4 linked regions of the Alligator mississippiensis genome follow. Each later gene encodes a partner of the first gene's protein in a complex. Links are inferred from orthologs where the notes say so. Each region holds a gene or a part of one and is shown on either strand. Other genes may lie near its edges. The genes, in order: TIMM29, TIMM10B, TIMM10 and TIMM22.

The links.
Region 2: TIMM29 (region 1) and TIMM10B share a complex: the UniProt entries of both Homo sapiens proteins name them as parts of the TIM22 complex. The link is inferred for Alligator mississippiensis from reciprocal best matches to the Homo sapiens genes TIMM29 and TIMM10B.
Region 3: the proteins of TIMM29 (region 1) and TIMM10 are in contact, whole or in part, in a cryo-EM structure (PDB 7CGP), measured with the Homo sapiens proteins. The link is inferred for Alligator mississippiensis from reciprocal best matches to the Homo sapiens genes TIMM29 and TIMM10. Residues at the interface, in NP_612367.1 of Homo sapiens: Asp181, Asp183, Ile184, Asp186, Phe189, Leu192, Leu196, Arg197, Val199, Gln203, Leu204, Ser206, Asn209, Glu210, Leu212, Phe213, Asp214; in NP_036588.1 of Homo sapiens: His30, Arg31, Lys32, Cys33, Pro35, Pro36, Leu43, Ser44, Lys45, Gly46, Glu47, Ser48, Val49, Arg53.
Region 4: TIMM29 (region 1) and TIMM22 share a complex: the UniProt entries of both Homo sapiens proteins name them as parts of the TIM22 complex. The link is inferred for Alligator mississippiensis from reciprocal best matches to the Homo sapiens genes TIMM29 and TIMM22.

What each region holds. Positions count from the first base shown.
Region 1 is NC_081831.1:23,573,285-23,580,081, reverse strand, and holds TIMM29 (mitochondrial import inner membrane translocase subunit Tim29), read left to right. Parts: upstream 1-4,283; 5' UTR 4,284-4,304; coding exon 4,305-4,395; intron 4,396-4,672; coding exon 4,673-5,313; 3' UTR 5,314-5,472; downstream 5,473-6,797. Other genes in the region: protein YIPF2, read right to left, coding at 206-340, 547-729, 1,187-1,353, 1,810-1,926, 2,108-2,195, 2,511-2,591, 3,017-3,159, 3,936-3,966. UniProt on the Homo sapiens protein: Component of the TIM22 complex, a complex that mediates the import and insertion of multi-pass transmembrane proteins into the mitochondrial inner membrane.
Region 2 is NC_081824.1:483,428,237-483,435,359, reverse strand, and holds TIMM10B (mitochondrial import inner membrane translocase subunit Tim10 B), read right to left. Parts: upstream 1,735-7,123; 5' UTR 1,631-1,734; coding exon 1,595-1,630; intron 1,512-1,594; coding exon 1,416-1,511; intron 1,335-1,415; coding exon 1,155-1,334; 3' UTR 1,136-1,154; downstream 1-1,135. Other genes in the region: DNHD1 (dynein heavy chain domain-containing protein 1), read right to left, coding at 240-350, 435-638, 763-894, 989-1,029; ARFIP2 (arfaptin-2), read left to right, coding at 2,037-2,135, 2,220-2,328, 2,625-2,740, 2,820-3,041, 3,164-3,321, 3,499-3,673, 4,536-4,691; FH2 domain-containing protein 1, read left to right, coding at 6,289-6,576, 6,665-6,726, 6,811-6,913, 6,993-7,078. UniProt on the Homo sapiens protein: Component of the TIM22 complex, a complex that mediates the import and insertion of multi-pass transmembrane proteins into the mitochondrial inner membrane.
Region 3 is NC_081825.1:172,671,523-172,680,161, reverse strand, and holds TIMM10 (mitochondrial import inner membrane translocase subunit Tim10), read right to left. Parts: upstream 3,829-8,639; 5' UTR 3,750-3,828; intron 3,474-3,749; 5' UTR 3,428-3,473; coding exon 3,357-3,427; intron 2,834-3,356; coding exon 2,632-2,833; 3' UTR 183-2,631; downstream 1-182.
Region 4 is NC_081837.1:1,934,301-1,941,479, forward strand, and holds TIMM22 (mitochondrial import inner membrane translocase subunit Tim22), read right to left. Parts: upstream 2,888-7,179; 5' UTR 2,873-2,887; coding exon 2,674-2,872; intron 2,567-2,673; coding exon 2,370-2,566; intron 2,294-2,369; coding exon 2,221-2,293; intron 1,855-2,220; coding exon 1,778-1,854; 3' UTR 1,228-1,777; downstream 1-1,227. UniProt on the Homo sapiens protein: Essential core component of the TIM22 complex, a complex that mediates the import and insertion of multi-pass transmembrane proteins into the mitochondrial inner membrane. In the TIM22 complex, it constitutes the voltage-activated and signal-gated channel.

The sequences.
Region 1 (6,797 bases):
ATGCCCTGGCATAGAGACCACCGTGCCCCAGGGTCCTGCTCCTCAGAGTCTGTCCCATGTTCCCATAACAGGTGCCTCAGCTGCTGCTTGAAACCCTGGCTGTGGTGGGGATAGAGTTAGGGGCATCTTCTCTGGCCAGGAACTAGGGCACAGGGGGAACCAGTTCTGCCCCATGCCCCCCTGGCCAGCTCTCACCTGCCATCCTTCAGAAACGGAGGGGGGTAGTCATGGAGCTGTTGAGGCGGGGGTGAGAGGCTGTAAGTAGCTGTGCCCCCCCTGGAGCCTTAGTGTAGGCAGAGTGGAGAGGGACAGCATATACTGGCTTCTGGAAGAAGTAGAGCTGCAAGAAGAAATTGAGCGAGAAGTACACATAATGGGGGTGGGGGGACCTGGCTTAGGTCCCTGGTTCCAGATCTGAGGCACGTGCCCCCCCCCCCGGATCTCTAGAGAACAAACACCAGACCCAAACTGAGCAACAGCTGCCATGACCCTGCCCAAGCATAGGTCTCCCCTATTCTGCCCCACAAGATGCTGGGCCTTGGGTACCTTGCAGCCTACAGCCAGTAGCGCGTGGAGGGCGAGGACAATGGTCAGTACAGCCAATGTGGCAGCCCGGCTGTCTAAGCGGATGAGTGGCCAGAAGGTGAGAACTAGCACAGACCCGGAGAGTGTCATAGCGGTGGCGATCAGCAGCCACTGCAGCCAGGAGACTGGAATGAGCCACAGCACCTGCTCAAGACCGGGACAGGGAGGGGGTAAGCATGAGCAAGGATCATGGGCCCCACAGTTCTGAGATGCAGGAGTTGTCCAGGCCAGGATCTGGATGGCACATTCTGGCTCTAGGGAGCCCTGGGGATCTAAGCTGCCTTCATACTTGTGAGTCTACACTGCACCAGGGACCCTGCCTGCAGCTCTGGGCACCCACCACCCAGAAGGTAAACACAGATGGGAGCAGGGCGCCACGTCTGGAGGTAAATAGCAGGGCAGGAGCAAACAGGCTGGAAATTCAGTCTCAGCAAAGACAACTAGCTAAAATGGCTGAGCTGGGCCCAGGGGTTAGAGGACATGGTGCCCATGGCAGAGGGGACAGGGGTGAGTTCCCTACCCCCACCAGCTTCCCAAGAGGGCAGCTCCATGACCAGACTCAGCCTATCCCCTTGGAGGATTTGGGGCCCAGGAAACTCACCGAGGCAGGGATGTACACTGAGAGGGAGTAGCCATAGACGCACACAGTCTCCAGGAGGGTGTAGGAGGCCACATTGAGGCAGACACCCTTGCGCCACTGCAGGTAGCCCCACAGGGCCAGCGGCACCAGCCCCGCATAGCAATAGATGGCAACGCCTGCAATGGTCACTGCCAATGGATGGGCTCCTGTCACCCAGTGCTCTGCGGCCGGCCGGCCAGCCAGCCAGCTGGGGGGGCCTTTTGTGTTGTTCCCCCCCCCCCCCAACAACCACCACCCACGGTACATGCTACAGGCACTAGGACAGCAAAGCAGCCAACAGTGAATCAGCTCAAAGCTGAGACTCAAATGCCAAGAGGTGGGGTCCAGGCCTCCTGGGTTCTCTCCCAGCTGTGGGAAGGGACGGGTCTGGTGGGTTAGAGCAGGGGGAACCGAGGACCTTGACACCTGGGTTCCCCCCACAACTGGGAGAGGAAGGAGGTCTTGTGGTTTGGGGCTGGGAGCCAAGACTCCTAGGTTCTTTTCACTTAAAGCTTTGTGCCTGGCAGGGGTCAAGTTTGCCCAGGAGCCTGGTGGGTTCTCATGGGGCCTGGCCCATGCCTGCCTGTCCCATACCTACCCCTCACCTTTGTGGAACTGGGGGCTGTAGCGGAAGGAGGTGTTGCCATGCTTCTCCAGGAAGTTGGACAGGTTGCCACTGATGGCCAGTGTGAACACCAGCGTAGTGCAGATCCAGAAGGGCCCTGGAAGAGGCCAAGGGTAGTGCGACCTTGAGCCCAGGCTGGGGCAGAAGCCAGAGACCAAAGATGCCCTGCTTTGCTCTGGTTGACGGATGGCACCTGAGCCCTGGGGCACAGGAGGCCAAAAGGGCTCAGCCTGCACTGCCCTGGCCTGCCCCACATCATGGACCCCCTCTGGGCTCACCATACAGGTCAGGGTTGTTCCGTAGATAATGCCGCACAAAGTTCTTCCCTGGTAGTGGAAGCAGCGATCCCTTGATCCTGTCCAGCACCTACAGTGAAGAAAGCAGGAGTGGAGTGAGGCAGGCAGCTTTCTGGGCTCACCAGGCAGCAACCAGAGAGCAAAGCTGCATCCTGGTCCTAGGTGGGGGCTTCCCAATATGATTATAATACATAATGTACAGTCCCTAGTGCAATGGGGCTCTGGCCTGCGACTGAGGCTCTCAGGTGCTACCATACTATACCTAATAATGTACAAAGCCTCTGGGAGCTGAGAAACCCATGAATCTATGGGACTCATTCCTGCCAGCATCTCTAACTGCCTGTGTCAGAATGCTGCCTTCCCACAAGGGCGCAGGCTCCATTACCTGGTAGGTGTCGACATCAAAGAAGGCCTGGTAGTACTCGAAGGTCCAGAAACTTGGTGGCTGCTTCTGGCCGCTCAGCAGCTGCGAGGAAGGGAATGTATGTTACCACGCGGCCCCACCAGCCTTACCCACAGAGAACCCCAAGCACCTCCAACTGTGAGCCCAGCTCCCTCCCAGACCAGTGCACCCCACCCCAGCTGCTCCAAGCAACTGGGATTACCCAGCATGCCAGGCAGGAGCCCCATCTCCAGAGAGAGCCACAACTGAGGTAGAAATACTTGATCTACTTGGACCCCGATGGCTTCCACAGCTAGCAGCAGCTGGGAACAGCCCAGGCACAGCTGCCCAGGCTGGATCTGGACCTAGGGCTGGGAAGTGAAGGGCTCTTTATTCCACTAGTGCACACTCCCTGCCCCAGCCAACCTTGGGCCCGACCTGGAGCCAGCACTCCCCTCCAGACTAGTCCTGCCACCCTCCTGCCCATGCACGCTAGCTTTGCCCCCGACCTCTGTCTTATCGCTCTCATCGCCCTCCTCGTTCTCGTCATAGCTGGAGCCCACATCCAGGGCCACATGGCTCTGCCGCTCACTGACACTGGTGGTTGTTGCATCGGGGGTTGCAGCCAGCAGGTCGGCGGCCTCATCAAATTCTGCAGGGGTAAAGCGCCAGCCATCACAGCCCAGGGCTCAGGGGCCACTGCCTAGTCCAGCCCCTCACTCCTGAGCCTGCACCCTCCCAGTGTCATGCCTTGAAGGAGCTGGGGAGTTCATCACCCTCGTTACGATGATACAGAAGGTACTTCTATCTTGGCCAGAAGGACCCAGGTCCCAGTTTTATGCTCTAACTGCCAGACCACACTGTCTCCATTAGGCAGACCTATTTGTTATGCCCAGAGGAGTGTGGGCCTGGCTCACCCGGGAGCTATAAACCTCCCTCCACTAGGCAAACCTATGAAGACCTAACGAGAGTATTTGGGGCAACGAAAGAAAAAACAAGGAAGGGAGCAGGCTCAAGGGCCGCTAGCAAGTGCTCGGGGGGGGGGGGGGAAGGGGGGGGTGCTGAACAGCACACCAGCCAGCGCCGTGCCCCTTCCCAGGAAAACTGCTGGGATACGCGCGTGGATGAGGGACTGGCAGATGCCCCGCAGACGCCAGGCTCCCTCAGCCAGAGCCTCTCGGCCAGAGGCAGGGGGAGGTTTGCCGGGGGGTACCCGCGGTCCCAGGAGGCAGGAAGCCAAGGGCAGCGGGTCCGTCCCTGCTTCGTGCCAACCGCCCAGTAAGTGCCCGAGGGCGGCGCGGGGCCCGGCCGGGCTCTGGGGGCGCCAGAGCCCCAAGGCCTCGCGGGAGGAGGGAAAACACCTGCTGCAGCCGGGTCCGGTCCCCTCGCGGCCCGGCGGGACCTCCCCGAGGGCGGCCGCCTGCTCACCGTGGAAGCGGAGCTGGTCGGAGGCCGCCATAGCATCAGCGCACCCCGGGCTCCTGGGGGAGACGAAGGCTTGTTACGGCCGGGGGGGGGAGTGGGGGAAACTGAGGCGCGAGCTCCTGAGACACCCCGAGGCGGGGCCCTGCTGTGCAAGGGGAGCACGACAGGGAGGAGTGACGTGTCCTGGCAAAGCCGGGCACCCCCCGCTCCAGTGCTGCGTGTCCCTTTCTCCGGCCTGGCCGCGCGCACTCCCGGGGGGGGGGGGGGGGGAAAGGAAAGGGGAACCGCCCCCCCCCCCCCCGAGCTCCGGGATGGTTTCGTCCGGTCCGGCACCACTTCCCCTCCGGCCGGAAACAGTTTCCGGTTGGCGCCATGGCGGTGGTAGCAGACACCACGAGCGGCGCGGGACTCGATCGGGGGGGCAGGCGCGGCTTCTGGGGGCGGCTCGGCGCTAGCCGCCTGGGTAGGTTGGAGGGGGAGGGCTCCTGGGTTCCTGGGGCTAGGGCCTGGCAGCTCGGACGCCTGGGTTCTTCCGGGGGGGAGGCAGCGGCCCGGGTTCCCACGGGAGGAGGGGCTGGCGCAGGGCCTGGCAGCCCGGACTTCTCGGTTCTAATCCCGGCCCCGCGCGTAGCTGCAGGTCCCTCCCAGAGCGTCGGCTTCCCCAGCGCGGGCACCCGCCGCCCCTTGGTGGGCTGGGCCCTTGATAGCCAGCAGCATCTGACCTTGCTGCCCCTGTGCAGGCCAGTGGTGGAAGAGCCTCCTGCACGATTATGTGGAAGCCTGTAAGGAGGTGGTTGTGGGTGCCCGGCAACGGCCCGGGAAAGCCGGGCTTTACCTCTCGGTGCTGGCCGGGGCAGCCGCCTGCAGCCTCCGCATCCCCAGCGACACCTCCTTCGATGCCTCCCTCCTCGAGGCCTCTGGCACCCTGCTCCTCCTCTCCCCCTGGGTCTGCAACACCACCTCCAAGGGCCACGTTCAGCGCCTGATGCAGCTGAGGAACTGGGGGCAGCTGCGCTACCAGAGCCTGGTCTTCTTTTCCCTGGTGTATGAGGCCCCTTTCGACGCAGAGACCGACCTGTACTTGGCTCAGTGCAAGCACCTGCAGCCGCGCTGGACAGAGTTTCCAGGCCGCATCCTGGATGTGGGGTTCTGGGGGCGCTGGTGGGTTTTAAATGCCAAAATGAAGGACTCTGACATCAATGATGAGGAGTTCCAGAACCTTCCAGAGCAGCTCCGCATCATCTCCTTCCAGAACCTCCACTCGGAGACTAATGAGAGACTGTTCGGCGAGAAATACAAGCCTGTTGTCCTGACAGAGGAACAAATCGAGCAGGCAGAGAGGGAGATGCAGCCACTGCCTCAGGGGGTCACAAACCAGTAACCTGAACCAAGCAGCGGTTGCTTGAGCCAGGGTGGATATGGAAGCTCAGATAGGTTTTACTATGGGATTGTTTCTTGTTGGACCCCTCAGCCTTGTTGCATGCTGATTTCCCAGCCTTGGTGGCACTGGCATTCAATAAAGAGGATGCGGAGGCTCTTACGTTTGCTGTGATTTTTGTACTAACCTATGGGATGCGTTATCCATGGGCTTGCCTTGCCTCTTGTGGGTACCATGCCAACCCAGTGCTTAGAGCAGTGATTCTTGATTGGGACCCTGCACCACTCTGGGGCATCTTAAGATCCTTTCAGAGGTGCTACACAATGTTAGTGCTGTTAGACATGCAAACAGGATTGACAAGATAAGCAGAAAGGTTTCAAGTATTAATCCAGAGTGGCAAAATGTTCTGACCTGTTCAGATCTTTCTGTGTTTTCTGCAACAGAAAAACTGCTCCGTGATTTTTGTGTAAGAAAAATCAAGTGGAAGCTAAGAGCTGACCTCTTCCAAGGTTCTATCAAGGTGTGCCTTGAATTGAAGAAGGTTGAGAACCACTGGCTTAGAGGTGTTCCAGGGTAATGTCGCTCCATAGGGCTTCTGTCTCTTCTAGATGAGTTCAGATCCAGTGCTCAGAGGGGAGACTGGTAACAGGGACCCATGTGCTCTTGAAAATGGTACAGGTGGCATGTACAGGCACGCTCCTTTCTGAGCTGCTGCTGCTGCCCCCAGTGCCCAGCCCAGTTTTGGGGGGCAGGGCAGGTGAGTCATAAAGGGAAGCCTTTGCTTTTGGGTGGATAATCCGCTAGGGCCCACGTGACTTTTGCAGCTCTGTGATAGTTGGAATGAGGTGAAACCAAAGCCCCTGGTCACTGGGGAGTATTTGAGGCTCCAGGGCATCTGGGGCAACATCAGCCAAAACGTCTGTTTGGGGTGGAGGTGGCCCAAGCAGCATCACTTCCAAGGGGGCTGGTCTTGTTTGCCTTCTATCCTCTGCATAGAGCCTCAGCTGTATTGTAGCCCCCAACCCAAGTCTGAGCCTTCTGTCAGCTCCTCAGGGAACAGCAGAGGGTGCTAAAGAGCTAAGGAAAACTCCTTGGTACTGCTGCTCTCAGACAAAGGTGCAGAGATTCCCACTGCAGTTCTCCCTGAACCTGGAGGCAGCCCAGGGGCATGGACCTGCTATGACTTGGCGGGCAGTGCACAGTTCACAGGCATTTAGAGAAGCCCCTTATGGAGCTGCTAAGACTGAAAAAGGTGTCTCTTGCTAGCCCAGAGTACAACAGAAGTGGGTCGGGAAAGAAACAGGCACTTACCTCTTTTGGTGAAGGGGTGGCAGAGAAAGCAAAAGATAAACTGAGTTCCCCAAGACAGGATGGCTGTTCTGCACCTGAGCTGGAACAAGAAGGCAACATTCAGGAGCTGGTTGGGCTCTTAAAATATCCTGTTCTAATGATTTATTAACCTATTGAATAATTGATTGAGCAACTGC
Region 2 (7,123 bases), on another chromosome or scaffold:
GGGTGGGTGGGTGAGCAGATAAGGCTTCAAGTGGGGGGACCCACCCCGCCTGCCATGGGGGACACCCAGCCCCCTGCCAAACCCCAGCCCCCGCATCATCCCCTCCCGCTCAGGCGAGGCCCTGCAGCAAGACCGTGCTCCCCCCAGCTGCCCCGGGCAGGGGGGCAGACCCCGGCCCCACGCGGCCTGCACGGCAGAAGGGCGCTTTGCAGACGGATCCGGAGCCCCGGCGCGCGCACCTGGAGATATGGAGCAGGGCAGCGCCGAAGTGGGGCACGGCCTGGAGCAGGCGGGCGCCCAGGACCGCCTGGCGCTGCTGCATCCGCAGGCACCGGGTGCCGCGCTGCCAGCTGCCGGATGAAGAGACGAGAGCATGGGGCAAGGCCCGGCTTGCACCCCGCCATGCCGTGCCCTGCCCCGGCCCCGACACTCACCGGGCAAAGGCGGCGCGCAGCAGGCAGCGGCGGAAGACGGGGATGCCGCGCAGCAAGCCCCAGAGCACGGCCTCCCGGTGCCACGCGCCCAGCGCCAGCGCCTCGGCCCCCTGCCCCGGCTGCACGTGCAGCACGCCGAAGGGCGAGAAGACGTAGTGCTGCGGGGCCGCCCTCGCCTTGGGCACCGCGGCCAGGCTGTACGGCCTGCGGGCGACAGCACGGCTAGGAGGGGGCGCCCCGGCGAGGGCGGCGTCGTGCCCGTCACCCCGGGGAGCCGTTGGGGGGGGGGTGCAGCCCCCGGGAGCCGTGACCCAGCCCCGCCCGTTACCGGTAGTGGCGGCCAGCGGCGACGTTGAGGTAGGCGACCTCCGTCCTGCCCAGGGGCTTGTCCCGCACCATCGCCTCGGCGGTCTGCACGCCCGTGCGGGGCGGCGCGGCGCGGGGGGAGCCCGGCCGGGGCCTGCAGGGCAGCGCGGCTGTGAGCGCGGGCGCCCCGCGCAGGAGCTGGACACAGGGACCCCCAGGACCCTCCGGGGCGGGGGTGGGGGGCTCACCGCGACGGCCCCGGGCTGCCCGCCCCGTCGGGCGGCTCCATGCGGGCGGATGCGGGGCCGTTAGCGGCGGCGCGGGAGGGGGCGGGGCCAGCGCGAGCCCCGCCCCGTCGAGGCCCCGCCCACACGCCCGCAGCCGACTCGGGGGAGTGGGGGGAAGGGGGACGGTTTATTGCGGCGCCCGCTGCAACACGTTGGTGTCGGTCCCGGTCCCGGTGTCGATCCCGGCGGCGGCCTCGAGGTCGGCGGCGCGGCGCTGCACGAGGGCGGGCATGAGCCGCACGTAGGCGCGCATCAGGCTGTGGTTGGCGCGCACCAGCTTGACCGCGCAGCGCTCCACGCACGAGTCCTGCGGGCAGGAGAGGGGGCGGGGTCAGCGCGAGGGGGCGGGGCCAGCGGGGCGGGGGCGGGGCCGTGCGCCCGCACTCACCTCGGGGTGGGTGAGCGGCCGGCAGTCCATGTCGGCCACGCAGCGCGCGAAGCACAGCTCGGTCATGCGGTTGTAGAGCAGCAGGAAATCCCGCAGCTGCAACGGAGCAAGGGTCGGACCAACGGCTCCCGCCTCCCTTACCCGCCCCATCCTGTCCCCCCTCCACCCCCGGCACTGACACTGCGGAGCTGCTGCTGCTCCGCCGACGGCTCCATGCCCGCGCGCCGCCACTTCCGCCCTCGCTCTGACGCCAACTCCGCCCCTACTTCCGCCCTTCGTCCGCGTCAGGGGGGGACTCCCTTCCGCCCGCGCGCTGGCTTCAGTATGTCGTCACTTCTGTCCGCCTCCCGGCGCCCCCTGCCCGGGCTCTGACGTCTATTCCGCTGTGCGGGGGGGGGCGCCGGAGCCGAGCGGGGATCGGGGCCTCCCGGGGGCACCCGGCGGCGCCGGAGCAGGTGCGGAGCGGCAGCGGGAGCGGGAGCGGGCCCGGGTGGGGGTGGGGACAGGTGCGCAGGGGGCGGGGCCGGCGGGGCGTGGGGGCGGGGCCGGGGACGTGGCCGCGGGCGCGGGGCCAGGATTGGGGCCGGCCGGACGCACCCCCCCGCCCCCCCCAGCCCCAGGATGACGGACGCGCTGCTGGGCAAGGCGGCCACCATGGAGATCCCGATCCACGGCAACGGCGACGCGGGCGGCCTGGCCGAGGACGACGGGCTCGAGCAGGTGCGGGGGGAGGGGAGGGGAGGAGTGGGCCGGGAGGGGCACTGCCGCGGTGGCGCTCACCGCACCCCCCCCCCCCCCCCCCAGGACCTGCAGCAGGTGATGGTGTCGGGGCCCAACCTCAACGAGACCAGCATCGTGTCCGGCGGCTACGGCGGCACGGCCGAGGGCATCATCCCCACGGGCGCCGGCAAAGGTGGGGGCCCGCGGGCGCCGGGGGGTGGGGGTCGAGCTGCCCCGGGGACCCCCGTCAGCCACGCTCTCGCGTCCCCCTCTTCACCCCGCGCTCGCCCCCCCGGCCTGGCCCCCCCTTCCAGGCCGTCCCGCACGGCCTCGCTGGCCCCCGCCACCCTCCGTGTCGCCCAGCGACTCCATCGCCAGCCAGGCCGGCGCGTCCGCAGGTACCGGCCCCCTCCGCCCCCCGCCCCGGACCTCGCCACCCCCCCCGCCCCGGTCCTGCCCCCGCTCACCCCCCCGCCCGCCGCCTTGCAGGCGCCGGCCTGCACCCGCCTCACCCGGGCCCCGCCGCCGCGGGCGAGGAGGTCGTCAGGGGCATCGCCGTGGAGAAGTTCGACATCGTTAAGAAGTGGGGCATCAACACGTACAAGGTGGGTCCCCCCCCTGGGGTGGCCGCGGGGCGGGGGGGGGGCGCCTGTGCGGCAGTGCTGACGCCCCCCGCACCCGCAGTGCACGAAGCAGCTGATCTCGGAGCGGTTCGGGCGCGGGTCGCGCACCGTGGACCTGGAGCTGGAGACGCAGATCGAGCTGCTGCGGGAGACCAAGCGCAAGTACGAGTGCGTGCTGCAGCTGGCGCGCGCCCTCACCAGCCACTTCTACAGCCTGGTGCAGACCCAGCACGCCCTGGGCGACGCCTTCTCCGACCTCAGCCAGAAGTCTCCCGAGCTCCAGGTACGTGGTGGAGCCCGGGGTCCGCGGTCTCCGGGCCCCGCTCCCGTTCCCGCAGCACGGGTGATGGCTGGTGCATGGTGGCGGCTGGGCGGCGTCGGCCTGACCCTGCGCTGTGCCCGCAGGAGGAGTTCGGGTACAACGCGGAGACGCAGAAGCTGCTGTGCAAGAACGGGGAGACGCTGCTCGGCGCCGTCAACTTCTTTGTCTCCAGCATCAACACCCTGGTCAACAAGACCATGGAGGACACGCTCATGACCGTCAAGCAGTACGAGACTGCCAGGTGTGGGAGCCAGGTTTTGGGCTTGGAGAGAGATGGAGGCCAAGGGAGGGGTGTGGGGTGCAGATGTCAGGTGAGGGGCGCAGGGGTAGGAGGGCTGGGATGCTAGGGCATGGAGGGTGCTGGGGCTTGGGCAGGTGGGGACGCTCTCTCTGACCCCGGTCTCGCCCCTATCGGCAGACTGGAGTATGACGCGTACCGCACGGACCTGGAGGAGCTGAGCCTGGGCCCGCGGGACGCCAGCACGCTCTGCCGCCTGGATGTCGCCCAGAGCCAATTCCAGAGCCACAAGGACAAGTACGAGAAGCTGCGTGCGGACGTGGCCATCAAGCTCAAGTTCCTGGAGGAGAACAAGGTCTGGCAGGGGGTGGGAGGGTCTGTTCACAGCCCCCGGAGCTGGGCTAGGGGCAGCGCTGGGGGGTGGCCACGGGACACGGCAATAGCTGGGCGTTGGGTGTGGCGGAGCCTGGATGCCGTGTGCAAGGGTAGGTGGGACGGCAGGAGAGACCTCCCTGGCATCAGCGAGGTGTGGGACGCGCCTAGGGTGGGGATGGTCTTCGGTGGGGGGGGTCCCAGCACAGACTGCACAGGCGCTGGGAAGGGGGCATTGAGCTGCAGCGACGCCTGGAGCGTGCGGTGAAAAGAGGCAGCGGGACGCCCCAGAGCAGCCCCCACCCTGAGCGCCCTTGGACCTCCCAAGGACCCTGTGCCCAGAGCAGGGGCAGGAGGAGGCAGAGCTGCACCCGGCCGGATCGTGGCAGGAGACGCACCCGTGGGGGGACACAGCTGGGCGCTCGGGCTGTGCAGTGTGGGGTGGTGCGGGTCCTACTGGCTGGCCCCAGGGTGTAGAGCGGAGGCAGCGGGTGTTTCCCAACCTCCGGGCTTTGCTGCTGCCCCGTGGGGTTGGGTGGGAATTGTTTCCACCTCTTGCTCCTGGGGTCAGGGGTTTTCTCCCCTTCCTCAGCAGCAATGGGTGCTGATGCAGCCCAGGCTACGGATGGGGACTGGACTGTGTCGATGCTTCTGCCAGGACCAGCCCTGCAGGGCCTTGCCACGCTGCACTGGGGGCAGGCAGGGGTTTCTCCCGGTCAGCTCAGGAATAGCCCAGAGGTGGCCGGGCAGCGCTGATCTGCCCAGATCAGGGGCCAGGCCCTCGACCCTGCGCTAGGCGGCTGTGGGGGGGCTGTGGGGCTGACCCCTGCCCCCCTCGCCCCCAGATCAAGGTGATGCACAAGCAGCTGCTGCTTTTCCACAACGCCATCTCCGCCTACTTCGCTGGCAACCAGCAGCAGCTGGCGCAGAGCCTCAAGCAGTTCAACATCAAGCTCAAGACCCCGGGAGCGGAGAAGCCCTCGTGGCTGGAGGAGCAGTGAGCACCCGCCTGCCGGCCGGGCCGCCATGGACCTGAACTCTGACCTCTGGCCCCAGGCCAGGCAGGCTGGGCGTGGTGGTGAACATGGGGGACGTGGCCAGGTCTGACTTGCCCCTGCCTGGGCCCCAGCTCCGGGGTGAGCAAGGGCCTGGGCCCCTCGGGGCAGCTGCCCTGGCCAGCACTGCTCCCCTGCCAGACGTGGGATCCTGCCTCGCCCCCTCCTGCCAGCCCCACGGCAGTCCCTGCCCCTCCCTGCTGGGCATGGAGCCCCGCTGACCTTCCCCACCGGTGCCCGACCTGTGCAGAAACCCTGCCCTGTCCCGCTGGGGCGAGGGCTGCTGACACTGCCCTGGACACCTGGGTTCCCTCGCAGGTTGGGCTGGGGCTGGGGTCCTGGCCTCCTGGGTTTTGCCCTTGGCTTTGGCTCCGGTGCCAGAGGGGTGAGGGGTAGTTCTTGCACTCCATTCCTAAACGCTGCCCCCCACCTCTGGGACACACACTACACTCCTGCTCCCCTGCTCCCAGCTGCGCCAAGCTAGACCCCGGGGTGGGGGGGGGACAGGGGCCTGAACACTAATCATGGGGGCTGGAGTTCCCCCCCACCAGCAGATCCAAACCGAGGTTGTTGGGCCTGATCCCACGAGGCCTCAGGCTGGCGACAAGCTATTTGGGGGGGGCAGACCCACCCCAAGGACCAAACAGCGGCTGCGCCTGGGCCTGGAGCGTGTGCATGTATGCGCCTGTGCGTGCATGTGGCCGGCATCCCGGGGGGAGGGTTCGGATGGGTCCCCTGTACCCAAATTGCCTCACCTCCGCACGGTGGCACCTCCAGCTGAGGCAGGCGCAGCCCCCTAACACGGGCACTTTCTCCTGTGACACTAGGAAAGAAACGGTTCATTTTCGTTGCTAAATTAATGCCTCCACCTGACCCCCTTATGTCGGTCTGACCGCCCCCGGCCCCCTGTAACTTCCAGAATAAACAGTACGGTACAACGTCGCTCTGCGCCTGCTCGTGCCTGGGGCTGGGAGGACGAGGTGACAGAGGGGGCTGGCTGGGGAGCGGCCCCAAACACCTGCATCCAGATGCATGGGGGCAGCCTTGGCTGCCCTGCCACAGGGAACAGCATGGGGGCAGCTCTGGTGCTGCAGACACCACAGCCACCCCTGGAGCCGCATCGCTCCCCGGACGGGGCTGGGGTCTCCTGACGGGGAGGGGACCTCTGCTCCACGCCGGGGTGCTTGCAGTGCAACCTGGGGCAGGATCAGGCCTATCCAGGCTTTCCCAGGCCTCGGGGCCAGGCCCGCACACCCCCCGGGCTTGCAGGGGAGGCCGCGGGGTGCCGACTGCTTGTAGGACTGGGGTGCTGCACCTGCCGGGGTCCCCCCTCCCGCAACCACCCCCTGCCCTGCGCCCATTCGTGCCCCTGGGTGCGGGGAGGGGCCCGCCCGCTGCTCTAACCGCTGGAGCCCGCTGCCCGCGCAGCTGGACGGCCCCGGCAGGTGCGCGCGGTTCCCGCCCCCGCCCCCGCGCGGGGCTTCTCCGGCCGCGCGCTGCACGCGGGGTGCCCCCGCAGGGCTGGGTGCTGCTGCTCGTGCCCATGGCGCCCCCGCCGCCCCGGGCCCCGGTGCCACCCCCGCCCGCCCCGCCGCCGCTGCCCCCCGGCAGCCCCGCGCCCGCCCCGTCGCGGGCCCGGCTGCGGCTGCGGCAGCTGCACTGGGCGGCGCTGGGCGAGGCGCAGGTGCGGGGGCGCCGCACGGTGTGGGGGGCCGGGGCCGACCCCGACCCCATCCCCGTCCCGCTGGACCGGCGGCACCTGGAGGAGCTGTTCGCGGAGCCGCCGGCCGCCCCCCGCGGCCTGTCCCCCCTCGGCCGCCCCCCCGGACAGGTGAGCGCGGGGCCGGGCTGGGCCGAGTTGAGCCGGGCCGGCCGGGGTGCCGCGAGCGGTGGCTGCAGTGCCCCGTCTGCGTTCCCAGGTCTCGCTGCTGGATGCCAAGAAGATCCTGAACCTGGGCATATTCCTGAAGCAGCTCAAGAGGCGAGTGGGTCCGGCCGGGCTGGGGGGGTCCCGGGGCAGGGGGGCTCCCGGCTGACCCCACACCCCTGTGCCCCACAACACCAGGCCGCTGCGGCAGATCGTGGCTGACCTGCGGGACGGGGCGGGCGCACTGTATGGCGCCGAAAAGTTGCTGGAGCTCCGCAAGATGCTGCCAGACGCTGAGGAGGTGATGGGGCCGCAGGGGCACGAGGGGAGGGGGTCCGGTCCCCAGTTCCCCGCCGGGCTAACCCCCGCTGTGCCCACAGGCCCGGAAGCTGGCGGCCTTCTGCGGCAGCCGTGGACAGCTCTCGGAGCCCGAGCTCTTCATGCTGCTGCTCACCGAGGTGCCCGGGTGAGCCGGCCTGGGGCAGGGCCTGGGGGTAGCACTGGGGTCGGG
Region 3 (8,639 bases), on another chromosome or scaffold:
GTTGAATTGATCAGGACTGGCAAGATGTTTTATCTAGAAACATTCCATCTACTTAAATACAAAAGACCTAAATACAGGATACAAGAAAGGCATTTGGGGGGCAAGAAAACAAGGTCCTACCATCTCTGAGAAGTCAGTGATAGACATTTGAGAAAGCATGGTTCAGTAATTTGATATAGAACTAGGTATGCATATATTTTTATTTTGATGTACTTAATGTCATCACAGCTACAACACAACTCTTATACTATCAGTTTATTTCATGTCATATATAGAAATCTGTGGTGGACAAAGCCAAGAATTAAATGCAACCTGAAAAGGCTTTTTTGGGAAGAGTCCCCCAATGACTGAGTGGTGCGGTTTGGGGTGACCTGTAATGCCAGTCCAAAATCAGCTCCTTATTTGGTGCTATGTACATAGCACAAAACTGGGGGGGGGGCAATAGTCAAGAGAGAAGCACACAAAAACCAAGCTTTGGGTTGAGCAAGGGCCTATCCAGGCTTCCTCAGGAGAATATTCCAGTGGCAGAGACATATGGTTTGGAGTGACCCAAAAAGGCTTTTCATCCATAATCCCAGCCCAAAATCACCTCCTTATTTAGTACCATGTAAATACATGGCCCAGGGAACCATTAGTTGGCAGGCTGGCACGCAAAAACCAAGCTTTAAGTCAGGAGGAGCTACCCAAATTTCTTCAGGACAGTCCCCCCGGGCATGGAGATGTATGGTTTGTGGTGACCCAAAGTGGATCTTGCCCCATAATCCCAACCCAAATTAAGCTCATTTGGGGAAATGTACACCACACACATACCCAAGGGGCTGTCAGTTGGCAGACTAGCAGTGAAAACCAAACTTCAGTTCAGCCAGTGCCCTGCTCAGACTTATTCAGAAGAAACAGCTGAAAATGTGTCGTTTGGGAAGACCTGAAAATGATTTTGCTTCATAATCCCAGCCTAATCTCATCTCCTTATTCAAGGCTATGTACTTGATACGTGGTATAATTTTACAACTTTAAATTATTTAAAGTTAGCTTTGAAAAACCAGCCATGAACCAGGAATAAGGAACTAGAGACTGAGACTAAAGAACTGGGAATTAGGAATCTTTAGCCTCACCCAAGGGGCACACACAGACCCATCCTCCCCACTAAACTTGGCTGCCCTTTTGGGGAGCTGCCAAAAAATCATGCTCCTTACATCAACTCCTATCCCCTAGAGGATTAATTCCCACTAGGCTTTGAGGGTCCTGCTCCTCCCCACCCCCAAGGAGCTTAGTCCATATAGTCTTCAATGTCCGTCTCTCTAACCTCCAAACACTTCTATCCCTATTTCCATTCCACCCCTGCTGTGCTCCCTCTCGGCTCTCTCGCCCTAACAATCAAAGGCTAGAGCTAGACAAAGCCAGGCCAGTAAGGCCTTCCCCCTGCTGTTTGCTATCCCTAGCCTCATGCAACCCCCTCTCAGTCTCCTCCAACACAGCCCCTACCCTCACTTGCTGCTACAGCCTTGCTATAGCTGTCCGTACCCCCAAGCCAACCTCAAAATCCCCCTCCCAGGTGCCTGCATAGTCCCCAGTGCAAACAAAAGCTGCTGTACACATAGTTTTTCCTGCCAGCGAATTCTGAGGAAATCATCATGCAGCATCTTCCAGGAAAACCAGACTGAGCCCCAAGAGGACTGAATTGCATGCAGTAAAAATAACTCCTAGCCACTCCCTGGAGGTCACTGGGATTAGAAGCTTCACCCTCAGGCTAAATGGAGCTGCCGTGTAATTAACCACAAATCAGAAACTGGGATGAGAGAAAGGAGGAAAACACCAATTAGGAGCCAGGCTTGTAAAAATATTTACTAAAGCCATGAACTGAAAGCCAAGTGAAACTCCCATGTGCTTTCCCCAGCAGCAGCATGCCCCCTGCTGGCCACACATAGCAGCTACAGCCATCAAGGATTGCAAGGAAATTCTTCAGATTACAGCCAGCAGTTTGCCTCCCCGAACAAAAATGCAGCCATCTCTGGGGGGAGGGGGGAAAAGGACAAGGGTTGCCCAACAGAAAATAGGAACAGGCTCTGTCACAGAGTTTGGAGCTGAAAGTGAAAGGCAAACTGCAGCCAGGAGGGGATTACTCAAATCTGACAGGGGCATGCTGCTCTGTGAGAGTACCATGGAGATTTGATGAGCACAATACCATAGGGAATATACATCCACCTGGAGGCAGTGCCCCCTGCAGCCAATCCATCATGCTATCAAAGGGGTAAAAGAGCTGGGACGAGGGTTCTAGCCCGACCTCCTGCAAGAGGACACTTCATCACAAACTACCCTGGATCAAGCCTTTGCTCCATTAGTCAATAAAGAGACACCACTAGGATAGGATTGGGACCTCATCCCTATTTGGGACAATGCTGCTCACTAGGAGCATCATCTGGGAAGGGCAGAGATAGGACCTCATCCACTCAGCAGGAAACAGCTAAACAGCGAATCTCAGCACAGGATCCCCTTGTTGGAAGGCAGAGGCCCAGTGCTGCTCATACAAAACTATCAAGGCTTTATTGACAGGGGACCCAGGGCTGAATCTAGGCGGCAGTCCAGTGCACTCAGGGCCTATCACACTTGCTGTCCAAAGCTGAAGAGGGATTCTTAAACCGCCCCAGCCCCCTGCTGAATCCGCTTCATCAGCTCCTCATCTTGCATGGAGAGCTCTGTCAATTTCTTGCCCATGCGTTCATGAATGTCCAGGTACTTGGAGACACAGCGGTCCAGGCATACAGACTCCCCTTTGGAGAGCTCAGCCTCCTTGTAGTGGGGGGGGACACACTTCCGGTGGCAGGCATTGGTCATCCTGGGGTACAAAGGAGGGAGACATTATGAGAATCTCTACACGCCCCTGCTCACCAGGCCAGTCTCCTTCACACACAGCACAGCAACCATTCCAGACATTAGTTCTTCCCCCGCCCCGCTCTGTGGATACCTTAAATGGCCACTGCACCTCCCCTGCTACTGCATCCTAGGCTTTCCTTTCCATATGCACACAGCCTTGCTCACACTCCGCAGCCCCATCCCCTTGCCATCACAGATCCATACACCCCACATAGCTCGACCAGTGTATTTCCATCCATTCACAGGCTCTCTGACATTTCAACTCCAGGAACCTGCTCACATACACACAGCTTTGGTGATGCATCCTGCAGGGGCCCCCCAGCAAGGAAATGGACACATGAGATATTCCTGCACTTGAAAGTAGGAGTCCTGTGGCCTGCAACAGCCCACAGGCAGATATTTCCCTCTCTCTTCCTCCCCCCAGGCGCTTAGGAGCACGGAGTAAAGCCCAGAGCCCTGCAGGGGTCTTTGGACGGGGTCATGACCTGTTGTACATGTCAGCCATCATCTCCACCTCCAGCTCCGCTGCCAGCCGCTGCGCCTGCACAGGATCCATCGCCTAAGCTCCGCGTCCCGTGCAGCTGAGGCAGGGCCGGGATCTCCTGGAAAGGCACAAAAACTGTCAGTGCTGCCCCAGCCCCGGGCAGCGCCCAGCTACACCCGAGGCGGCGTCAACGACGACCCCAGCGCACCCGAGGCCGCGGGGACCCCGAGGAGCTGGCGGCGCCTCCCTACGGGGCAGCCCCTGCACCCTCTGCACGGAGCGCGGTCAGACCCCAGCAGGGGAGCAGCCTTGGCACCGTGCTCCCCTCCCGCCTCGGCCGCCCCATGCCCGTGCGCAGGGGCCGGGCGAGGGCAGGAGGCCACCTCCACCCCACCTGCCAGCCGGAACCACGTGGGGCCACCAGCACTTCCGGGAAGGAGGCACCCCCCTCCCCGGCTCAAAGAGCGGGGAGAACGTCATTTCCGGCAGCGCAGCGATTGGGCGGGATCGGGAGGCCCGGCCTGCCAACCACAGAGACGCGCGGGGGCGGGGTTGGGAGGGAGCAGGAGCGGGAGCGGGCACGGGCAGGGGGTGGGACTCCAGGGGCGTGGAGGGCTAGCCGGGAGTGGGGCGGGGCATGTTGCCATGGGGACGCGGGGGCTGGGGTTGACGTGCCTCTGGGGGCCGGGGAGAGCTGGCGGGATGTGCGTGCTGCAAGCCGTCTGGGCCTCGGCGTGGATGTGACCGCTTCACTGAACAGCTGGAAGCATTGTCCTCTGCGAGAGCACACAGCCGTCCCCGCCCTGCGCTCCCCAGCCCCAAAAGCAACCGGGGAGGGAGCCTGCATTTCCTGCAGGGCCCCTGCTCGGAGCAGCCTGGAGGCGCCACGTGCAGCATCTCTCCTCGTGCGGGTCCCCAGGGGCGAGGGGGCGCTTTCCTGCCCTGAGCCGCTCTTGCTCCTCGTGCAAGACGTGGCGGCCGCTGCAGTCCAAGGGCGGCCCCCAGCTGCACGGGGGTGTTGGCAGGGGAGGCAGGTGCTCCGATGTGGTTCAGCGTGATGCTAGGTGATGAGTCGGGGTTGGAGTTTAAGTCAGACAAGCTAGTTGTGTGACTTTGGGGGCAGGAGTTGGCACGACCGGGGGACCCGGGATCACAAGGGTCGTGGATCCCTCGCACAGGCCATGGAAGAAGCACAGCGATGACTTGGACGTCAGGGAGCTAACGAGAGACTTCCCTTATGCTACGGCCGGCAGCACGGCCAGCCTGTCTGCAAATACAGCAAAGAAGTCAGTTTAGCTTAGCATGGCTGTGGGTTGGGAGCAAGGGGCACTGGCAGGGTGGGGGGGAAGGTGCTGTGGCTTTTAGTTTTGTTTTACATTTAATTTCTGAGGCAATAACACTTGTTATTTACTGTAACAGTTACAAAGTGCCTCCCCTCTCCACAATCATATACAGTTGTCCTCTTTAGGACTAATGCCCAAGCTTTCTATGGTCAAGGTTGCTGCCTAGCAGCCTGCTGTGCTCACTCATAGCAGTCCCCAAAAGGTTTCCAGGCTTCCTCAAGCTTTGACTCTGCTCAAGGAGGAGTGACTGGAGAAAGGTTAAGGAAAAGGCTTTATAGTGTTTATGATATGTGGAGGGAAGTGGGTCTTTTCCTTCACTGGACAGATGGTGGCTGGACTTTACCTTCAGCTAAAAGCCTGCAGGCCTGCCCCCTTCATGCCAATAGTCCCTGTTGAGGAGAGTGACAGCCACATCTGAAAAAAATGGCTAGAAAATTGAAGTATCCATCAGTTTTGAAGGCAAAAGGGACACGGATAGGAATTAGGTCTGATTTCCTGCAAAATGGGCCAGAACGTTCATTATGCTCCTCGTATTCTCATTGTTGGCACTGCACAGGATCTGTGTGCCTCGCCCATCTCGAGGTCTTTATAGGTACATGGTGGGTGCCAGACCATCTCCCAAGGAGCTCCCAGTGAGAACAAACAGGGTTCAACACTGTTGTTCTGTGGCATAATGAAATGCCCAGGCTGTTTAGAAAGGAAAGGTAGGGTTACAATATTTCCAGTTCCAAAAAAGAGAACAACTGTATATGATTGTGGAGAGGGGGGGACACTTTCTAACTGTTACAGTAACTAGCAAGTGTTATTGCCTCAGAAATTAAATGTAAAACAAAACTATAAGCCACAGCACCACCCTCCCCCTGCCCTACCAGTGCCTCTTGCTCCCAACCCACAGTCCCCCATTCCTCGGCTATGCTGGTACCCCTCACTCCCAACCCTTAGCCCCCTGTCCCTGCTGCTGCCCCTCACTCCTGACCTGCAGACCCCTGGCCCTGCCAATGCCCTTCACTTCCAACAGCACCCTGACCTCTGGGCCACGCTGGTGCCCCTTCCTCCTCACCCACAGCTCCCCCCCATCCCTGCTGGTGCCCCACACTCCCCACATCCCCCTAGTGCAGACAGTGCCCCGCACTCCTGACTCAGTCTCCCATCCCCCACAAGCCACAGCCTCCCCAGCTCTGCCAGTGCTCCTCCTGACACACATCCCCCTGTTCCCACCAGCCCTGCTGGAGGGGGCCCCAGCTGCCCCTGTCCCTGATTTATGCAGGCAGCTACACAGAGAGTCTGCCCCTGGTGGAGGGAAGAGGAGGGGAGGTCTGTGGCACGCCATTTAACAGCTCCCTGGGCCTGTCTTGTGTGAATGTGGATAGTCCCTTTCTGGGTATGGTAGTAGTATTTCAAATTGATTAGCTCTGATGGGACTTGAATCCACAACTTTTGAATGCCTGGTAATTGCTAGGAAGCTAATGCACCAGCCAGGGCACCACAGGGTTACTTGTGCCTTAAAATAGTGCAGCTTCCCAATCCAAGTGAATACATGAACTCAGCAAACCATCACAGTCACAACAGTTAAACTGTATGTGATTCAATTTCAGTTTAAGGAAGGTAGGAACTGTTTTCAAAACCACTTCTCTATCTGCCTGGTTAACACAGGTAGTACATTTTCTGTGCAGGGGAATAAGAGAGTCAGTACCCCGAGTGTGAGGCTCTTGCAAAGGAAAAACACAGGCTGTCTTGTGCTGATGTTGCTCTTCAGCCAGTGCGAGGTTGAAGAGTTGTGTTCATAGCAGCCCTAGTTTTTGGTTCAAATTGGTGCCCTCCCTCCTTCATAGCCCAGTCTGTGATCTGGGCTGCAGTGAAACTGATATTTTCAGATGGTTGAGGAAAGGCTGACGGGCATCAGGTTGCTTGGGTCATCAAAATCACCTGTTTTATGAAAGAGTACAGTAACAGTCTTCAAACTCCTGGCACCCATTGAAGAGCACTGCCAATACAAAACAGCCTGGGTCATTCCTGTACAAGAGCCCCATGCTTCAGGCATTGGCCTCTCACACTCACCACCCTTCATTACAAACCCTTTAAAGATAAAATTATGCCCAGGGTGTTTGGGAGGTATTTCAAGAGGCAGAAACTGGACACAGTGGGATACCACAGGGCCTGTAGCTGGAGAGAAAAGTCCCAAGAAAGTGCCTCTTTGGAGAATGTGGGGCCTGTGTGAAGGGGAGGTACCCTGAGGGGGCTGGGGCAGCTCATAAAGATTTTTTTTATTCCACATTCTCCATTTGCACATCATTCAGGTAAGCACTGGTGAAATGCTCATGCTTCTTTGGGCAAACTCTGGATGATGATCTCAGACTCTCAGGCCAGGCTTTCTGCTTCTCTTTCATTGCTTCAGGTATGGCCACGAGGGAATAGCCAAACTCCACAATGTTACAGGATTTGCTTCTTGTTCACATATTTATACCCTACATCATGTGTGGACACCAGCTGGCCAGCCACATCAAACAGTGGGGGGCCAGAAGACACTCCCTCAACACCCAGAAGAAGCAGGTGTTTTAAGTGACAACATTGAGGTTGTTGACTACCTTGTGGAGATTAGAACTTCTCTGGGTGAACATGTGGGTGCACTCCCAGAACCTAGAGCCAAAACTGTCATCATTGCACATTTTGTCATGCTGCACATGATCATGACATACCTGGTCACACACAAACTACAGTACAGCTGTCAACTGATTTTTCCTGCCCATCTACATAGCCAAAAATAGATTGGACTGTAAGTGGCATCAAGTAAGTTAAGTGCAGGAAACCTGCTAGTATCATGCCAGTCTGCTTCTCTTTTCAGTGTTAGGACAGCAAATCCAGGACCCTATATTTCAAACAAAGGTGCCACCTCTAGCCAGCTGTTCTCTGGGGCGTGTTCATCTTCATAAGAGAAAGTCACCCAAACAGAGCAATTGGTTATTGATGGCCAGTCCTTCCTCTCTATACCTGGGCCAGCAATGAGACTTACCAAGTTATAGCAGATGAGTATATATTTGCCCTGTAAGACAAAGTATGCAGCAGAGCCTCCCTTTCCATTGCTGACCCGCTGTATGCACCCCACCAAGTTACTAAGAACACTAAGGCATTTATACACCCTGAGAAGCATGGAGTTCTTCATTTCCTTCCCCAAAATCTTCTCTGTGTGGCTTTCACACTGCTCCTCCTGGATTGCCCAGGGCCAAGGTTTCCACAAAGCCTTGTTGATCACTGTGCTTTGTCTCTTCACATTGAGATGCTGGCCTGGGGTAGCGTGATTGTGGGGGATATGGGTTCTCCTTCACTGTTCTCTCCATGGTTACGTATCCCTGGAATCAGGCCCTGGCTTAGCCAGTCGCTGGTGTGAACCTCTCCCTGAGAGCACCTCCTTTAGCCTGTTCCTGTGGTTGCCACAAGGCAGGGAGTTTGTCTTCTACTGTCCCCCATCCTTCTGGCAAGACTGTGGCAAGGAGCCATTTTTGCATGGGGCTTTTTTGGGAGTCTCCCCTAATGTAGACAAAGCACAGATTAATGAGCTGTTGACATCAAATACTATTTTTTTCCAGCTTTGCAAACCCCTGCTCTGCACATTGCAGTCCTAGTGGGTTGTGGCAGACTGGTGGAGTCCTATCTCACACCTCTCTGCTCCCTGCTCCCTGTGCAAAATATCACTGCAAGATGGGATTCTCAAATGGGCATGTGAGTGGTTACTTCAGTGCTCCACCTCCTCCTTACCTAGAAGGTGCATCTCCTTGCCCTGGTCCTTGGCCATCTCCGCATGAGCATATGCTGGAGCTGTCCAGGCTGTACAGCTGTTCTGGGGGTGCTGAACTAAACTTATGGGCAGCAACAGTGGACCAACCATTAGAAAAGGTCAGACCTATTTCTACAGTGTTTTATACCAACACTAAATAAGTCCCCCA
Region 4 (7,179 bases), on another chromosome or scaffold:
GACTATGTTAATAAATGCAAAGCCCTGATGTTTGCACAAACGGAGCCGCGGTGTCCGTGCTTGCGCCTGCGCCAGCCCAGAGCTCCTGCTCCGCTGCCCCCATGTCACAGCAGTTGCTGTGCTTGGTGCTGTCCCTGTGGGGCCAGGCTGGGCTGCAGGGCACGTCCAAGGGCCCAGAACTAGTCCAGCCTCAAGAGAGACTGCCTGCTGCAGCTGCTTGTTTCAGGGACACTGCAGCCCTGCTGAGCCAGGAGCGCCAGAAGGCAGTGCAGAAACCCGGCTCTCAAACCTGCCAACCCCGCTCCACCCTGCAGCTGGGAGAGGAACTGATGGAGACAGGAGACCATACAGCAGCCTCCTTCCAAGAGGAGCACTCAGCCCATCGCACGGCTGTCGCTGGAACAGGGGCGGTCAGGGGCCCGGCCCAGAGCGAGATGCCTCTCCGTCAAGGCAGACAGGTAAAGCGGCCCCTGGGCCAGTCCCGCTTGTTCTTGCAGGGCAGCACTTTGGGGCCACGCGGGCTTGAGCTGTGGAAGCAGTTTGTGCACTGGTGTGTTGCTGTGCAGCTCCAGCCCCGTGGCTGGGCAGGGCAGCATCACAACCTGCTGCACACGGATGAAGAGCTTGCTGCCACCGCCCGTCGCAGCGAGCTGCAAAGGGCCCCTTTCCCATGCCCCTTCCTGCAGGCAGGCTTAGCTGGGGCTGCAGAGCCACAAAAGAGCAGCTGCAGGGCATGTGGATGCGCCTACCCAGCTCATGCCACTGCCGCCAGGGCACGGCGTGGCAAGAACCAGCCGCCCACGTGTCCCCTCAGCTTAATTGGCTGAGTTTGCAGCCCACACTGCCATCGCTGTGCTGTGCTTGGTGCCGGAGCTCGGTGTCGCAGAGGCACCCTCAGGCGCAGCAGACGGGCCTCTTGCAGTCAGGGCCCCCGCACTTCCTAGCTGCACCTGCCGTACCAGAGCCTGGACTGGTGGCGCAGGCTGCCCGGCAGGCTCCAGCCCCCTCCCCACAGTCTCTCTTGCAGGAAGTGCTGCATCTCCTTGGTGGGTGGGAGCAGCGCTGTGCTGTCACGGGACCGGCTGAGCCACTAACCACCCGCCGCGCTGCTGTTCCCTGGCAGGGCGTCATTACAGGGGCCTCCCCGCCCTGCCGGCCAACAGTTATTGACTGTGCAGCTGCCAGGGTTAATTCAGGTCAGACATCAGCCTACTGCAGAACGAGGCCTTCTCTCCATTAAGCTTTTATTTCAGTGCGACCAGTCGTTAAACAGCACGAGGACTTGCTGAACCCAGGGACGCCCAGCTCCCAGGTCCCCGAAACAAGATGACCTACGCAGCCAGGCATCGGCCGTCAGCTGGAGCCCACGCGTTCTCCCCCACGATACCGCGCTGCTTCCCAGCAGAGCCGTGGCTGCAAACCAGGTACCGTTAAACATCTGCAGCAAGTCACGAGATGGGTCAGCCGAGTCTCCGTATCCAGGGAGTGCCTGCAGGGATCTTTCCAAGGAGGCGATGCGTTTGATAGCAGTCAGACCCCAGAGGGCCTGGAAGGCAGAGGGAAAGCGGGCTCCGTTCCTGGAAACGGACACAGTCGGCCAATTCATTCGGAGGATACTGACCGCTGAGCCGGGCCCTGCTCCAGGAGGCTCCAGCTGTTGTGCCAGAAGTTGTGCTACGGGCCGGCCGATCGTCAGCTGCGTAGGACACGCAGCAGGCACCATCCGGCTTGCTCTGGCGGACAAGCCTGGTGGCCCCGCTGCAGCTGGGCACCGCCGTTACCGCAGGTAGTAATCGATCACCGCAGAGAAAGCGGCAAAGCCTCCGCAGCCGAGGGCCCCTGCTTTCAAACCAGCTGCAAAGCAAGAAGAGACCCCGTTCAGTGACACTCCCCGCGCAGCCCGTGTCGCACTCGTGACTCGCGCGAGGAATGGACGCGGCCACGCGTGGGCTCTCCGCTCCCGAAGGGCCGCAGACGCGTTTGGCCGGGTCCGGAGAAAGGAGCGTTATCCTGTCTCAGATGTGGATAACGAACATAATTAGGGGAGCGCTTCCCGCACCGATTTTTGGGCGGGTCTCTTTTAAAGAGGGGAGAAAACACCAGCTTTTCTACGCGCGACGGCCCCCAGGGGCTGCAAGCGAGCCGAGGGGCCCGCGTCCGACGGCCGCTTCCAGCCTTTCCCCGTGTCTCCCTGCCGACGCGGGCCCGTCCCCGACCCACCTCGAAAGCCGATGGCTCCTCCCGTGATGCAGCCGCTCGCGACGCTGTTCTTCCAGTCGGACTTGCCGCGGTACTGCGGGGCGAGAGACGCGCGGCGTTACGGGCGAGGCGTTACGGGCGGCGGCGCTGGCGCCCCGCGCGGCACTCACCGACTCGACGAGGCACTCGGTGCAGGAGAAGACGGCGCCCACGATGGCGAAGTTCTTGGCGTAGGAGACGCCGCGCTGCCCCATGTCGCGCAGCACCTCCCGCGCCGTGGGCGTGCGCAGCGGGTCCTTGGGGTCGAAGCCCACGTTGGTGTCGATGCCGGCCGTGAACACGCCGAACGCGCCGCCCAGCACCAGCCCTGCCGCAGCGCGCCACCGTCAGACACACCGCCCCGCCCCGCCCCGCCCGCGGCACCCCCCCCCGGGGCACCCCCACCCCTGGGAGCCGGGGGAGGGGGAGGGGCACCTCCGACGCAGGCCAGCGCGCCCTTGAAGCCGCAGCTCTCGGCGAGGCGCTCGGCCAGGCGGGAGTCGGCGGGGGGCGCGGCGGGCAGGGCGCGGGGGGCGCGGCGCTCGCCCACCAGGTACTGCAGCACGGCGCTGTACTGCAGCGGCTCCGCCTCGGGCCCCTCGGGCCGCGACGCGCCGCCCGCCGCCGCCGCCATGATGGGCCGTGCGCCCGCACCCGGCACCGCCCCCCATTGGCCGGCGCGGGCCGCCTCCCGGCCTGCCCCGCGGCCCCGCCCGCGTGGGGGCTCCTGGGAAGTGTAGTCCGGGCGCGCTGAGGGGGGGCGGACTACATCTGCCATGGAGCCCCGCGGCGCCGGCCCCTAGCGGCCCCTGGCGGCCGGGAGCGGCGGTGCGGGGGGTCGGGTCCTTGTCGCCGGGGAGCGTCCGAGAGCCCAGGCGGCAGGTGAGCGGGGTGGGGTGGGGTGCATGAGGGTGGCATGAGGGGTGCCTGGGGGGTGCATGGGGTTATGAGGTGCCTGAGGGGTGCATGAGGGGTGCACAGGTGCTGAAAGGTGCATGGGGCTGCAGGGTGCATGAGGGTGGCATGGGAGGTGTGAGGGGTGCATGGGGTTGTGAGGTGCCTGAGGGGTGCATGGGGCTGTGAGGTGCATGAGGGTGGCATGGGAGGTGTGAGGGGTGCATGGGGTTGTGAGGTGCCTGTGGGGTGCATGGGGCTGTGGGGTGCATGAGGGTGGCATGGGAGGTGTGAGGGGTGCATGGGGTTGTGAGGTGCCTGTGGGGTGCATGGGGCTGGGGGGTGCCTGAGGGGTGTGAGGGGTGCATGGTAGAGCACAGGTGCTGAGGGGTGCCCGGGGGCTGGTGCAGAGGTCAGCATGGCAGGCCCCGGCGTGCCCCCCTACCAGGCGCAGCCATGGCGCCAGCGCGCTGCAGCGGGCGGGGAGACCAGCAGTGCGCGGGGTGGGGGCGCTGGGGTGGGAGCCGGGCCCCCATGGCTGCCCCCGCCCCGGGCGCACGCGGAGGGGCGCTGGGCCGAGAGGCGCCCGGCGCTGGCTGTCTGCCCGGGGCCGTGGGCGGCGGGCCTGCGGCAGGCTTGGGGCTGCGGCTCATCTTGCGCTGAGCGTAGGTGATGTCGGGCGGTCAGACTACACGGCCCCGCGGTCCCTGCCAGCGTGGAGACCCCCCGGCTAGCGGTGCCCTTGGGGGCCCGGGCTGCGCGTCCCCGCTCGGGGGCAGCCAGGCTGGGTCGCGTCGGCTTTCTGGTTCTCCGGTGCTCGGACACTGCTGGGGAAGCAGGGGGTTGAGCCCCGCTGCACCCCTGCTTCTGCTGCCGGTATATTGACCCTTTGCCCTGCATCGATTTCTACTGGAATAAGAAAAGTCTTGGTTCGGGGGCTTGGCCTGGAGGAGAAGATGGGGAGCGACTGCGAAGATACTGACACGATGCTTTGATGCAGCGCGTCAGTTTTACCCAGCACCTCCCAACATTGCTGAAACGCTTCGTCTGCGGACAGCGACGGGGTCGGCCTGGTGCCACGTAGCCCGGGGGTCCTGGCTGCCCGAGGGCACTAGGTCCTTCGGAGTCATTGACCCTTTGGCGTGACCGTCGGGGTGCTTCGTAACACGCGTGTCGAGCTGGAGAAGCCGGTGACGCCAGGTTTGACGTGGTAAATGGGTCTGGTGGCTGGTGCCTTCAAACGTTCACACGTGAAGCCCGGCGAGGGTCCTGGTGGAGTTGACCTGCCCTCTGCTGGAGGCTCCGGGCTTTTCCCTCCGTCACCAAAGCGCTTCAGCAGCTGCTAGGCTGCAGAGAGATGTGAAGTCCTAGCACAGCAGCCTCGTTACGTTAACGAGAAGGACCCGCTAGCAGCATGCTGTCCATAGGGAGCGCTGAAGTTCGCTCTTCCCTTTGATCCTAAACAGTGCGCGTTGGCTGGCCTTCGAGCCACATTGCAAAGCCCAGCTATTTCCTGCGATGTGCTGGGGTTGGGATTTGGGCACCGAGAGCTCGGCTGTGCAGCTGGAGTAGTGTTTTGGAGGTTTTCCCCGCCACTGTTGGGGAATATGCTGAACTGACATGTGTTTGTGTGTGCTGGGTTGCGTTGTTAATGCCCGGTGAAGGACTTGGGGCTCCTCGATGGTGCGTGCGACTGAGCGTCTCTTCTCGTTCAGGTAGCAGAGGTGGGCGTTTCAGGATCGATTTTTAATACCCCGAACACATTGTTGGCTAAATCTGTGATAATATCAGACATGCTCCCCCACCCCCAGGAGAGTATGCGCTGATAGTTTTCTGCTGTTTTCCCCACCGTACTGATTTATTTTCAGTATGAACGTCAGGATGTCTTTCTCCTCATCCTTTGCCTGCAGATCTGTTTCCTGTATGCAGACCAAGGGCCTGCCCCTCCAAGCATTTCAGCACATGCTTAAATACGCGAGTCATCCCATCAACTTCAATGGACTGTTCTGTGAGCAAACTCAGACACCCATGTATCGCTTGCAGGGTTGAGGCCACCAGAGCACTGAAAGCTCTTGCAAACTTGGAATAAATGTAACCCTGCACTTGTCGAGTTGCCCGCTCCAAACTTCTCTAGAAGCAAAGACCCTTCTTGCTTGCTATCTCGTCCCAGCCTCTGTTGTCTTTTTGTGCTGTATGCTCCTGATTTGAGTAGTCCCAAATGCACTTTGTCTCGTTTCCTGCTAATGCTTGTGATAGCCCATAAAGGTCAGTCCTTACTTTATATTCCCAAGCGGGCACGTGCTGATTGTTACAGGTCTTCGTGAGCTCTCTGCTCCGGTCCATTAGAGGGCAAACCACAGGAGCTCTTAGGTGAGAACAGGCTTGGATTGGCACATTCATAGGCGACTGGTAGGGGGGACACGGGGGTGCACGTGCCCCCCTTGACAGGGACGGTGCCCCTCCTGACAGCCGACACTGATGCTGTCGGTAGGGCTGATGCCCCCCTTGACAGGGTCGGTGGCTTCTGCAGGTGCCCCCCCAGATTCAGGAGGCACCAGTCGCTCATGGCAGATTTAGCAATGACATTCAACCTTTCACTGCAGAATATAGAAACATAGGGCAGTGCCGGGGGGATATAAAATGCAGAAATAATACTGCTGCTGGGAAGCCTGGTTCAGATGCATACTTTGCTCCTCAACTGGAAGCTGACTCCCTCTTCTGCATAGTCTCGGGGGGTTGTTTTGGGTATTGCTGCAGTGAAGGTCTTCACAGGACTCATCTTTGGTCAGTGAGCAGTCATCCGAATCCCAGCATTGTTGCTGAAGTGATCTAACTGGGAGGGAAGTGGTTGCAGATGGAGACGGAAAGAATCTGGTTCTCTCATTCTTTTCACTCTCACTCCCACTCTTGTGCTCCCCTGGAGACAGACACCAGAAATGTTCTGAGCAGCAGTGCTGCCAGCTTTATAATCTTCTGGGACTGTGGACGGTTGAGCTACAAGCACTTCTGCATATGGGGCTGTTTTCGTAGCTACCTGTGACTCGTTAAGCCGCCACTGCCTCTTTCTCAAGAGGTGCAAACCTGGCTGAGCCAAAGTGTGCCCCCTGCTCACATACCTCTGCGTGGTATTGCACGCCACAAATACGCAAGACCATGGTAGACCTCTTGAGTGGCGCAATTGCCTCAACAAGCATCAGCTTTTAGAAGTAGCCCTTTTTATCTGCCTTCTGCTGGTTGAGTTTTGAGGGGTCGTGTTTTCCAGCTTCATGTGAATGCTGAGACTCTGACCTGATAATGTGGGTCCGGGAGCTGGGGCAGGATGCACAGCACCCGGCAGCTTGCAGTGGCGGATGCTACTAGGCTGTTTGCTGAGGAACCGTCCATCTCGCCAGCATTGCTTACCTTGCATGTGTAGGTCTGGATGTCTGCAGAGGCCACGGCTGGTCTCCATTCCCTGCAGCGCTAGTGTGGGCTTGCACCTCGTCTGGAAGAGAGAGTGCCCCGTGCAAAGAGAAAGCAGTGGTGGCAGGTTGTACGGCGGTTTGCAAAGCATCTCTGCAGAGTCCTTGGCACATGAAGCCAGATTTGCAGTTTGTCTTCCCATCGGAGCCCCTGTCCCACCTCTTGTAGTAACTCAGAACCTTTTCCAAACCGTTCTTTCTACTCACAGTAGATGGACAGCAGTGGAAATTAGGAGTTGGGACTCCTAAGTTTTGTTCCCTGTTCTGACTTGCTCGCTGACCTTGGCAGTGTGACTCTCCTCTCCTTCCTCTCTTTACTCATCTTTAAACTAGGGGCGATGGTACTTCCCTAGCTCTCCCTTACATTGTCAGTTTAATTACTGTTTACAAGGGGCTGGAGAGCCCAAGAGACAGCAAATTGCACGGTGCAATATGCTTTAATTTAGTAGAGCTGCTCAAGTTTCTGAGCCACATGTGCACTTTTTACCAAGTGCAAGCCAAGGCTCGGGCTAGGTCTGGGTGAGGGGTTGATGAAGTGAAGGAGCAGGGCTTGGGGTTTTCTCTCTCTAACACACACTAGTTTCCC